Linked DNA regions of Caenorhabditis elegans. The protein of the gene in region 1 interacts with the protein of each later gene in a biochemical or structural test. Each region holds a gene or a part of one and is shown in the gene's direction. Other genes may lie near its edges. The genes, in order: npr-43 and nlp-17.

The links.
Region 2: the proteins of npr-43 (region 1) and nlp-17 interact in a test that uses a peptide from one of them, tested with the Caenorhabditis elegans proteins (one large-scale study listed by BioGRID).

Annotation. Positions count from the first base shown.
Region 1 is NC_003283.11:14,375,347-14,381,032, reverse strand, and holds npr-43 (G-protein coupled receptors family 1 profile domain-containing protein), read left to right. Parts: upstream 1-1,946; 5' UTR 1,947-1,966; coding exon 1,967-2,065; intron 2,066-2,973; coding exon 2,974-3,240; intron 3,241-3,289; coding exon 3,290-3,373; intron 3,374-3,421; coding exon 3,422-3,596; intron 3,597-3,808; coding exon 3,809-3,945; intron 3,946-3,992; coding exon 3,993-4,225; intron 4,226-4,597; coding exon 4,598-4,756; intron 4,757-4,806; coding exon 4,807-4,894; 3' UTR 4,895-5,037; downstream 5,038-5,686. Other genes in the region: Homeobox protein unc-39, read right to left, coding at 5,234-5,458.
Region 2 is NC_003282.8:13,504,614-13,507,764, reverse strand, and holds nlp-17 (Neuropeptide-Like Protein), read left to right. Parts: upstream 1-2,022; 5' UTR 2,023-2,054; coding exon 2,055-2,134; intron 2,135-2,193; coding exon 2,194-2,365; 3' UTR 2,366-2,495; downstream 2,496-3,151. Other genes in the region: seld-1 (putative selenide, water dikinase), read right to left, coding at 1-211, 810-1,063, 1,506-1,686.

The DNA of each region.
Region 1 (5,686 bases):
TTTTATAACTCAAAAACATAAGTTTTGTTTGACCTTCTGAAACTCTTAAATATGAAATTAGACTTCACATAGTAAACATGGTCGCGTTTTCAGAAATATGTGCAATCTCATCGGTTGAATAGGGATTAAGCGTAGGTCTTGAAGGCTGCTAAGTATTTTGTGCCTACATACCTTTGTGTAGAAGCCTAAATTTAGAATTGAGTGCTAGTGAGATCTAATGATTAAGAAATTTGTCATAAAATCCAAAAAACTAAAATAAAAGCTACAATTTCAAGAGTTCAAAAAAAGACTTAACAGACTTTCCACCCTCGTTCGATCAAAAAGTTTCAGGCGATTTGTTTTGAGGCTTCATTAATCATACATGTAGCTGACTTGTAGTCCTGGAGATCAAGTGGGTCGCCATGGACGTTCTTTATGTGCACATTATTAAGCGTTTTGATTAAAACAAATACTTTCGGCGGTTTTCATTAGCTTGCAGAATTTTTCTTCCAGCTATTTTGGGCCAGTGTGACTTGATTGAATTTCTCCTAAAAAAAATAATGTACAAACACCACAAGAACCTTCTATTCCGGAACTATAAGTCTTTCAATATTTGATCGGCAGGTGATAATTGTCTTTCCGCATAGACTGTTACGTGTACTTTTAAAAGGTATAATTTCAAATAATTCTCGTGCTCAACTTCAGCTGCTCATTGATGTTGAACCCTACATATAAATTTCCTGGAACTTCTTTGAAGGCCTAAAAGGAATTGGAAATTTTCCAGTTGAAGGGTGAAGAACATATTAATTTTTCACAATTCGCGTGTTTCAAAACAAAATAGTAGTTGTTCTGGGTTCAGTTTTTCCAATAGAAATCTGGATTTTAGGAACACTTTCTTCTTTCTTTTCATGACAAAAACATACATATCTTGTTTTTCTTTTATCCACACCGGTTCTGGTTCTTCTATTTTTCAATCTTGTCTGGTTTACTGCGCTCATCCCGACAGAGAACATTTGATGTTATTAGTGAAGGCGTTGGGATGATACTTTCAGTAATCCTTATAATATTTTAGCTGGTTATTTAAAAAAAAGGAAGTTTTTTTTTGAGTCTGGTTTTAACGGTGTTAAATTTTTTAGAAATCGAGATTCTAGGCCTGGAAATTACGGGCTCCGCCACACACCAGGCCTTACAGATCTAAAACTTTATAAAAACACTTGTCTCATCAGCAGTTTTCCACAAGTTCGAGGCGATACGACTTTGCGCTGACTTTGCAGTTCACTTTTATTAAGAAAGTTTCATCCTTTGAATTAGTGTGATGTCACACGTATTTTTCTACGTACCCTCTACTTCTGTAGGTCAAAGGACACAAAAGTTTTCTGATTACAGTTAAGTTGGACTAACCATAAACCCAACCAATTGAAAATTGTTGTCTCAGAACCAAAAAAACATGTCTCTCTCGGATAGACCTTCAGATTCTCCGCCTGTTGATTGATTTCTTGATTTCTTCCAACTTTTCTTCCAACAAATGCACTCTAATAACTGCCCGCCCCTTTTCCAACAGTTTTCTACCTCATTTATCATTTCGTTATTCTTAATTTTATATGCATAACAGCTTCCGACGTCCTATTCATCATTTTCTTTTTCCTTCTTTTCTTCTTTTCTTCAGAACGTGACAATTGTTCTCGATATTTTCCACTCTTTTCACTTCATATATCTGTCATTATATGTATGTGAAGCGTGGAAATGGCTACGCAAACTTTCTGAAAAAAAGCAACATTTCAATGAAATTTCACTGTTGTCAGTCTTCTTCTTCTTCTGATTTTTCGGGCCATTCAATTTTTGTGCTTCAATCTCTCATTTCGCGGTCTCCCCCACCAATGTACATATCCCATGAATTTCTGAACGTTTCAACGTGATTTACCTTGTAGTACCCTTTACCTGTCCCTGAAGCCAATTTCTAACTAGACTTTTCAGGTCCAATACACAAATGAATGAAACAGATGATAATTGGACGGTGTTTACAAAACTTTATTCATGTCAATACAGAGCATCAGATGATTCTCCACAGTTTACATTATGGCTCGATGTGAGTTTATATGTAAAATTTCTTTGAATTAACACATATTTTTACTTACATGTGTATTTGTTGTGTAGATTTAAAAAAAAAAGAAAATTAGCTTGGGCCACTTTTAGTTTTTTTCAAAAACAAATTATTTGAAAAAATAATTTTGGTAAACTTTCAAAATTGCATAGGATATTTGGTGGTCGATTCCGGAAAATTCCCGGCTGCTGCCGTAGCGTAACTCGACAATAAAAAATTTGATCGCGGTAGGCAGGCAGGCAGGCTCAGACTATAGAACCACCAAACATTGGGGTATAATTAAGTGCACCTGACAATTCAATTTCTGATATTTTGAGCAATATGTCGTACTTGTTGATGTAAAATTATTTGAACTTTAGTTTCAAAATTGGTGGTTACTCTAAAATACCATAGAACTAGAAAGGTTCATTTTTCTTTGATTTTCAAACTTTGATTTTTTTTTGAAATCATTAACTTTTCGGAAATCTTTAAATTTTAAACTTTTAAATTTCATAATTCTGGTTTTGGACTAATTCTGGTTACTGGACTCTAGAATTCTCGATCGTCATCAAAACATACATTTATTTGATTCATTATTTTTAACAGTCATCATTTTTTATTTCCCTCTATCCTTAATCTCATTAGATCAGGAGATTATGATGTTGTGTTCCTCCAGCCGACTAATATTGCAAATTTTTTCTAGACTGTCTAAATTTGGAAAAGTTTTAATCCTTCTAAAGCTATAGATGTTTCTGGAAAAGAATTGACGACTTTCGGATTAGGGGAAACGCTTTTTAGGGACTTCGAACAATAAAAAACTAACCAGGGATTGATATGTGACGTCGGAAATCAGTGGTACTATACTTTTCAGAAAATGCTTGAACTAATTCAAAAAATACATTATATTTCTTCAGGGCCCCGTCACAATATCCGCTGCAATTTTCTCTGCCATTGGCACTGTCTATGCTATTGGATTCCTTCGAAATGGGCACTTGAATAGAAGAATGTCAGCAGCTTTATATACTTTGTGTCTCATGGATTTTATGCTTACGATGACTACCGTTCTTTTCCTAAGCATTGAACCTCTTAGTATTCTCCTATTTCGTACCAATATCTTCTACCAACATCAGGATATGATTCTTATTCTGTATGGAATACGGAATAGCTTTGCCATGTCATCGGTATGCAAAATTTAAAAGGAAATTTAATAATTTTTGATTTATTTTTCAGCCGATGCTAGTTTGCTACATCACATACATCCGATACAGAGTTGTCAACAATCCACTCAAATTTGCATCACATTATGGAAGATCGGTAGTGACACACATTTTGTTTTCAAATTTAAGGAATCATATTTTTTAGAGAAAATCAATATCTGCAAGCAAAATGAGCACAGCTGCTCAGCCATCTTCCACAGAGTCGGCAAAGTTCACAATTTCATTTCCAGCCGAAATGTTCTATGAATTTCACACCAGAAGCAATGCTGGAAAAAGAGGAGCAAATTTCAGAAGATTCTTCAGACCATTTCTAGTTCCAAGTATGTGAAAAGGGCAACAATTTGAAAGTTTCGGAAAAGGAATGAAAAGTGAATTATTCAAAAAGGAGAATCCCGAATTTTAGACCACTCTTCGTCATAATAACTAGTGTTGCATACTTAATTGATAGTTTAAAATACATTATTTTTGAAATAATTTCACAAAATTCACTAAAATTTCTGTTCTCTCTGAATATTGAACTTAATACTTTCAGTCCTTCTGGTAATCCTCTGCTTCGTCATTCATAGCACTTCCTACTTTGAATTCAACCTTATTACATGCTTTGATGAAGTTCATCAGACTGAATCAAAAATGCTCCAGATGACACAACTCAGAGGAGATTCTTATTGGGTACGTAACCATCTATTCACTCTATTCTATAAATCCCATTGTTTCAGTATTTTCAATTCAAAGTTGCCCTTACCATGACAACAGAGACATTGGGACCAATGCTTTTCATCTCCACGCTGTCATTGTTCACTGAATACAAAATGCATCAGAATGTCAAGGAACGGAGGAGGCTTTTTGAGAGTCAGAAGAGAAGTAGAAACACACTGGTGACGGAGGAATTGAAGGATAAAGCATCGAAGGCGTTAGCTGTGTTCATTGTTGTCAAATTTCTGATTTTGAGGTGAGTATAGGCTAGAACTTCAAACTTTTTTTGGCCACTCCAAGTTTGATCCCAAAAGTGGGAACTTGGTTCAAAAGGTGGCAAAGCTTTTGCAAGAGATGTAGAAACTGTGCGTTGTTTAGACCATACTCTATGTTTAACTCAAATATGATCCAACTATTTCCAATATTTTGTCCGAACTATTCTGTGTTGTTTAAACCTAGAAAGCATTGCCAAGAGTTGAATCAAGCCTGGGCTGAACTTGAAGTGCGGTCAAAAAACGTCATGCCAAGTGTTTACCTTGAGCAAGAAATCATCGCCAAATGCCAAGACAGTACTAATTATTTTGTTACATAACATAAAAACTTGGTAGCTCAAATTTTCAATTTTCAGATCCCTGCCAACATTGATTGATCTCTACGAGGTTCTCATTGAAAACAGTATAAACTTCGGCCCATTCATGACAAAAGTCACGCGAATCTCAGACTTCCTTGTCATTCTCAACTCGGCAACCAACACATTGGCCTATTTCGGCAAAGTTCGATTCGAAAAGTGAGTGTATCATTGAGCTCCGAGATTCTAAAAAATCCTCCGATTTTGAGGTGTTTCAGATGGCTGGAACGAAGGATTCGGTGTCGAATTGTGAAGAAGGAGGCGAAGGAGATTTTGAGCACTTCACTTACTGGATAGATTATATAGTATGCCAATATCCGACATCTACGAAGTTCTAATATATTTTGTTTCGGGGTTATTTGTGATCTTGCATTTTGTCTCTATTTATTTATGTCCGCAATATGTGCTACGGTTTTTTGTTTCAATAAATTTGTTTTTATTTTTTCAGTGTTTCAAAAAACCTTGCAAGAAACCTTGAAATTCTGATATTTTTCCAGATTCTTGAATTCAGATTTAAATATCAAAAAAAAAATTATAGCCTGGCAAACTTCTAAAAATAACAGTTTATTCTTTTTGCACTTTTAAAGCATTTCAAATATACAATGGGTAAATACTTTACTTTTATTTTAAAAAAAATTACGGATTGAAAGTGAATTGATCATTATCAGACTGACTGTCACGTAATGTACCATAGATCATGTTCATATTGAATGGAGCAGCTGCCAAGTTAAAGCTTTGCGGAGTTATTATTGGAAGAAAGTCACTGCCACCATTAGTGCTGCTCGAGCTGGAAGGTGGGGAGCATTTGGCTGAATTGTTCGATTTGTCCCGTTGGCGACGGTTTTTGAACCAATTTGAAATCTGAAAAATAAAATTGAAATTTGTTCGAGATTACTTTACCATGTACTAATTTACGCTCCGGCTTTTTCAGATCCTATTTTAGTTTGTTCTACCATAGAATCCTTGTAATCACACTAATCTTCTACTCGAAATTTGACAATAAAATGAAACAGATAATTTATGATCCTTACAATTTGACCTTGCAGATCTTATAAACAAATTCTTTCGGAGAAGCCGTCTGCTCAGTTG
Region 2 (3,151 bases), on another chromosome or scaffold:
CGTTCTTCTTTTTGATCCATTCGTACGAGTTCACGGCAACCTGGCCTCCAATTGGTTTAGTCAATATCAGAACATCTCCAGGAACTGCTTGATCTACTTTTATGATTTCTGATTCATGAGCAACTGAAGTGGCAACTCCGCCGAGCAGAAGCCAAGGACAACGGACTGTTTGGCCACCACGGATCTTTGTGCCTGCTTCGTCAGCTGCATCCTGGAATTTTTGAAGTTTTTCGTATTTGTTTTTGGCAGAAAATTTAATGCTCGAAACGTTTGAATTTAGGATTTTGTCGCCAAATACCCACGGGTTTCTGCACGGCCCGGCAAAGGGTACATCAGTGTAAACGCGCTCTACTGATAATTGCAGTTTAGCCAGGTTTGGGCGCGTTTTAAGGAAAAAAGCTTTGGTCCAAAAAATTTTGAATTTAATTTCGAACATTTTTTATATGCATCACAAAAAAACTGGACCAGTCGTTTTTGAGAAAAACGCGCCCAAACGTCCAGGTGTACGGTAGACAAATTGCGTACAGGTACCACTTCTCGGGCCGTGTTCTGGCTCGACCCCTCGGTGTATTTTGTGCAAACACCGTCACGCGCAAATGCATACACTATTTCAACGCGCTGCGTGAAAATTCCTCTTGCGATTTCAAATATTTTTTCCCGCCCTTTTGCAAAATTTTGGAGAGGGGGGTCTAGCCAGATACACGTGAATACCTAACGAGACCCAACTTTTTGGGGGTGGGATGTTTTGATCTATTTCAAATCGCGAATAATTTTTCTGCGTCTCCATAACAATCTCAACTGAAAACTACCTTGAATCCCTGAATAAACAACGGAACGACAATATCTCTCTGCTTCTCGTTCAAATCAATAGCCACTGCGAGCAGCATAAGCATATTATCACACTCGGAAACTCCCATTGCATACAAATCAGACAATACATTGGCACATGTTACACGTCCCATAATATATGGATCATCAATGAGTGGATAGAAGAAATCAGTGGTTTGTACGAGTCGAAGACCCGGATGACGGAGTGGAATTACGCAACTATCGAGACCAATGTCTGGAAGGGAATTTGAGTTTAAAAAAAAAATTATTTAAATAGAATAGAAGGCATTTCTGAATATCAGATATTATGGAAACACAAAATTCTGAGAATGCGTACTGCACAATATATTCGACGCGCAAAATATCTCGTAGCGGAAACTACATTAACTATTTAAATGACTACTGTAGCGCTTGTGTGTCGATTTACGGGCATTCATTCTAAAAATCGAGCCCGTGAATCGACACACAAGCGCTACAGTAGTTCATTTAAATAGTTACTGTAGTTTTCGCTACGAGATATTTTGTGCGTCAAATATGTTGTGCAGTACGCATTCTTGGAATTTTATGTTCCCGTAATAAATGTACATTCTGTTTTGATTTTCAAAGTTCAAAACGAAATTTGAATTTTTTCTGTTGGATGAGCTTCCTGTTTTGAGCAATTTTTCAATTAAACTCACCAACTTCATCATTATTAATGACTAAATCAGTTTTAAAAGTTTGGAGCAATTGAAGGAGCACATTCCTTGGAACTTTACACCCACAACCCTTCATTCCAGTCAACTTTGTGAGCACAAAATCTTCATCAAGTCCATTGCTCACCGGATCGAATCCCTCCAAAATTCTCTCGATTCGATTCATCTAAAATATATTTTCAAAACGATTTTCTGTGCAAAATTCCAAAAGGTGAACGATGAACGGAAAAAAAAACTTTGATGTTTCAAAAGTTTTCCTAATCTATATGTTTTTTCGCAGCCTATTATCTCAAAAACTTATTATTTATTTATTTATCTAGGTTATTACGGGAATGGATGAGGGGGTGACGTTTTTGAGTTTTTGAGTCGCACTTAATTAGAAAAGCTATATAATAACTCTAGATATAATTACTCGTCTCACTTAATAGCCTTGATAGCTCGCTATAATTGAAATATAAATAGTGAGATGAGCCATTTAAATCGACATTTCGAGACTTTTTTCTCGCGAAAAAGTCAGGCTTTTTCACAGAAAATATGTTCAGCAAGTCAATTCTCTTCTGCCTTTTGGTTTTGGTATTCAATGTTTTTGGAGCTAACTTTGAAAATGATCAGGAGTAAGTTTTACTTTTTTACGTGAAACTCGAGAATCTCTAATTTCCATTCTTTTTTTTAGTGTAATGCGTCCCCCATTCCAAGCCCTTAAACGTGGTAGTTTGTCAAACATGATGAGAATCGGAAAGCGACAAATGTCTCGACAACAGGAATACGTACAATTTCCAAATGAAGGTGTTGTGCCGTGTGAGAGCTGTAATTTGGGAACACTTATGAGAATTGGACGGAGATAAATGATAACGATTATTTGAATTTGAATTTGTTTAAATTTGCATTTCGTTTCGTTTTTCTCTCTCTTATAAACTGGTCCATTCTCTCGTTATTCATTATTTCTCAATCGTTTGATGAATGAATTCATTTGTTAAATTCTATTTTTAAGGGTGAATGATATTGCAGAATTTCTCACAGATAGCACGTGGTGCCAGGCTGCCTTGATCTACAAAAAATGCGGGAATTTTTCTTAGCCGTGCGACAACAGTTCGAAACTCTGCGTCTTGTTTCCCGCATTTTTTTTAGATCACACCGTAATGGGACACTCGGGGGAAAACGTTTTATTTAATCCCCGAAAAAAAAAATCATTTCTACAGTATTCAGAAATGTTGTTTTTTCTCATTTTTCGGGAATTTTTCCCATAAATTTCGAGCTTGATAATTGCCAAATTTCCAAAAATTTTCATTTGCCACACCACGTGGTGCCAGAGTGCCTTATTTCGCTTTGATCTACGTTGATCTACAAAAAATGCGGGAGAAGAGACGCAGAGTTCTCAACTGATTTCGCATGGTTAAGAAAGTGCTGACGTCACATTTTTTGGCAAAAAATTCCCGCATTTTTTGTAGATCAAACCGTAATGGGACAACCCGATTTTTTCGGTGGTTTCTTTTTTGAAAAATCGGAAAATTGAATTCTAAAAAGGGAATTTTTTGTTTATTTTAAAATAAAAATCTTTACCAAAAATGTGGTGGTTTTAATGAGAAAGAACCTGACCGGAAGCTATAAATGGTTATTTATAAATTTAAAAA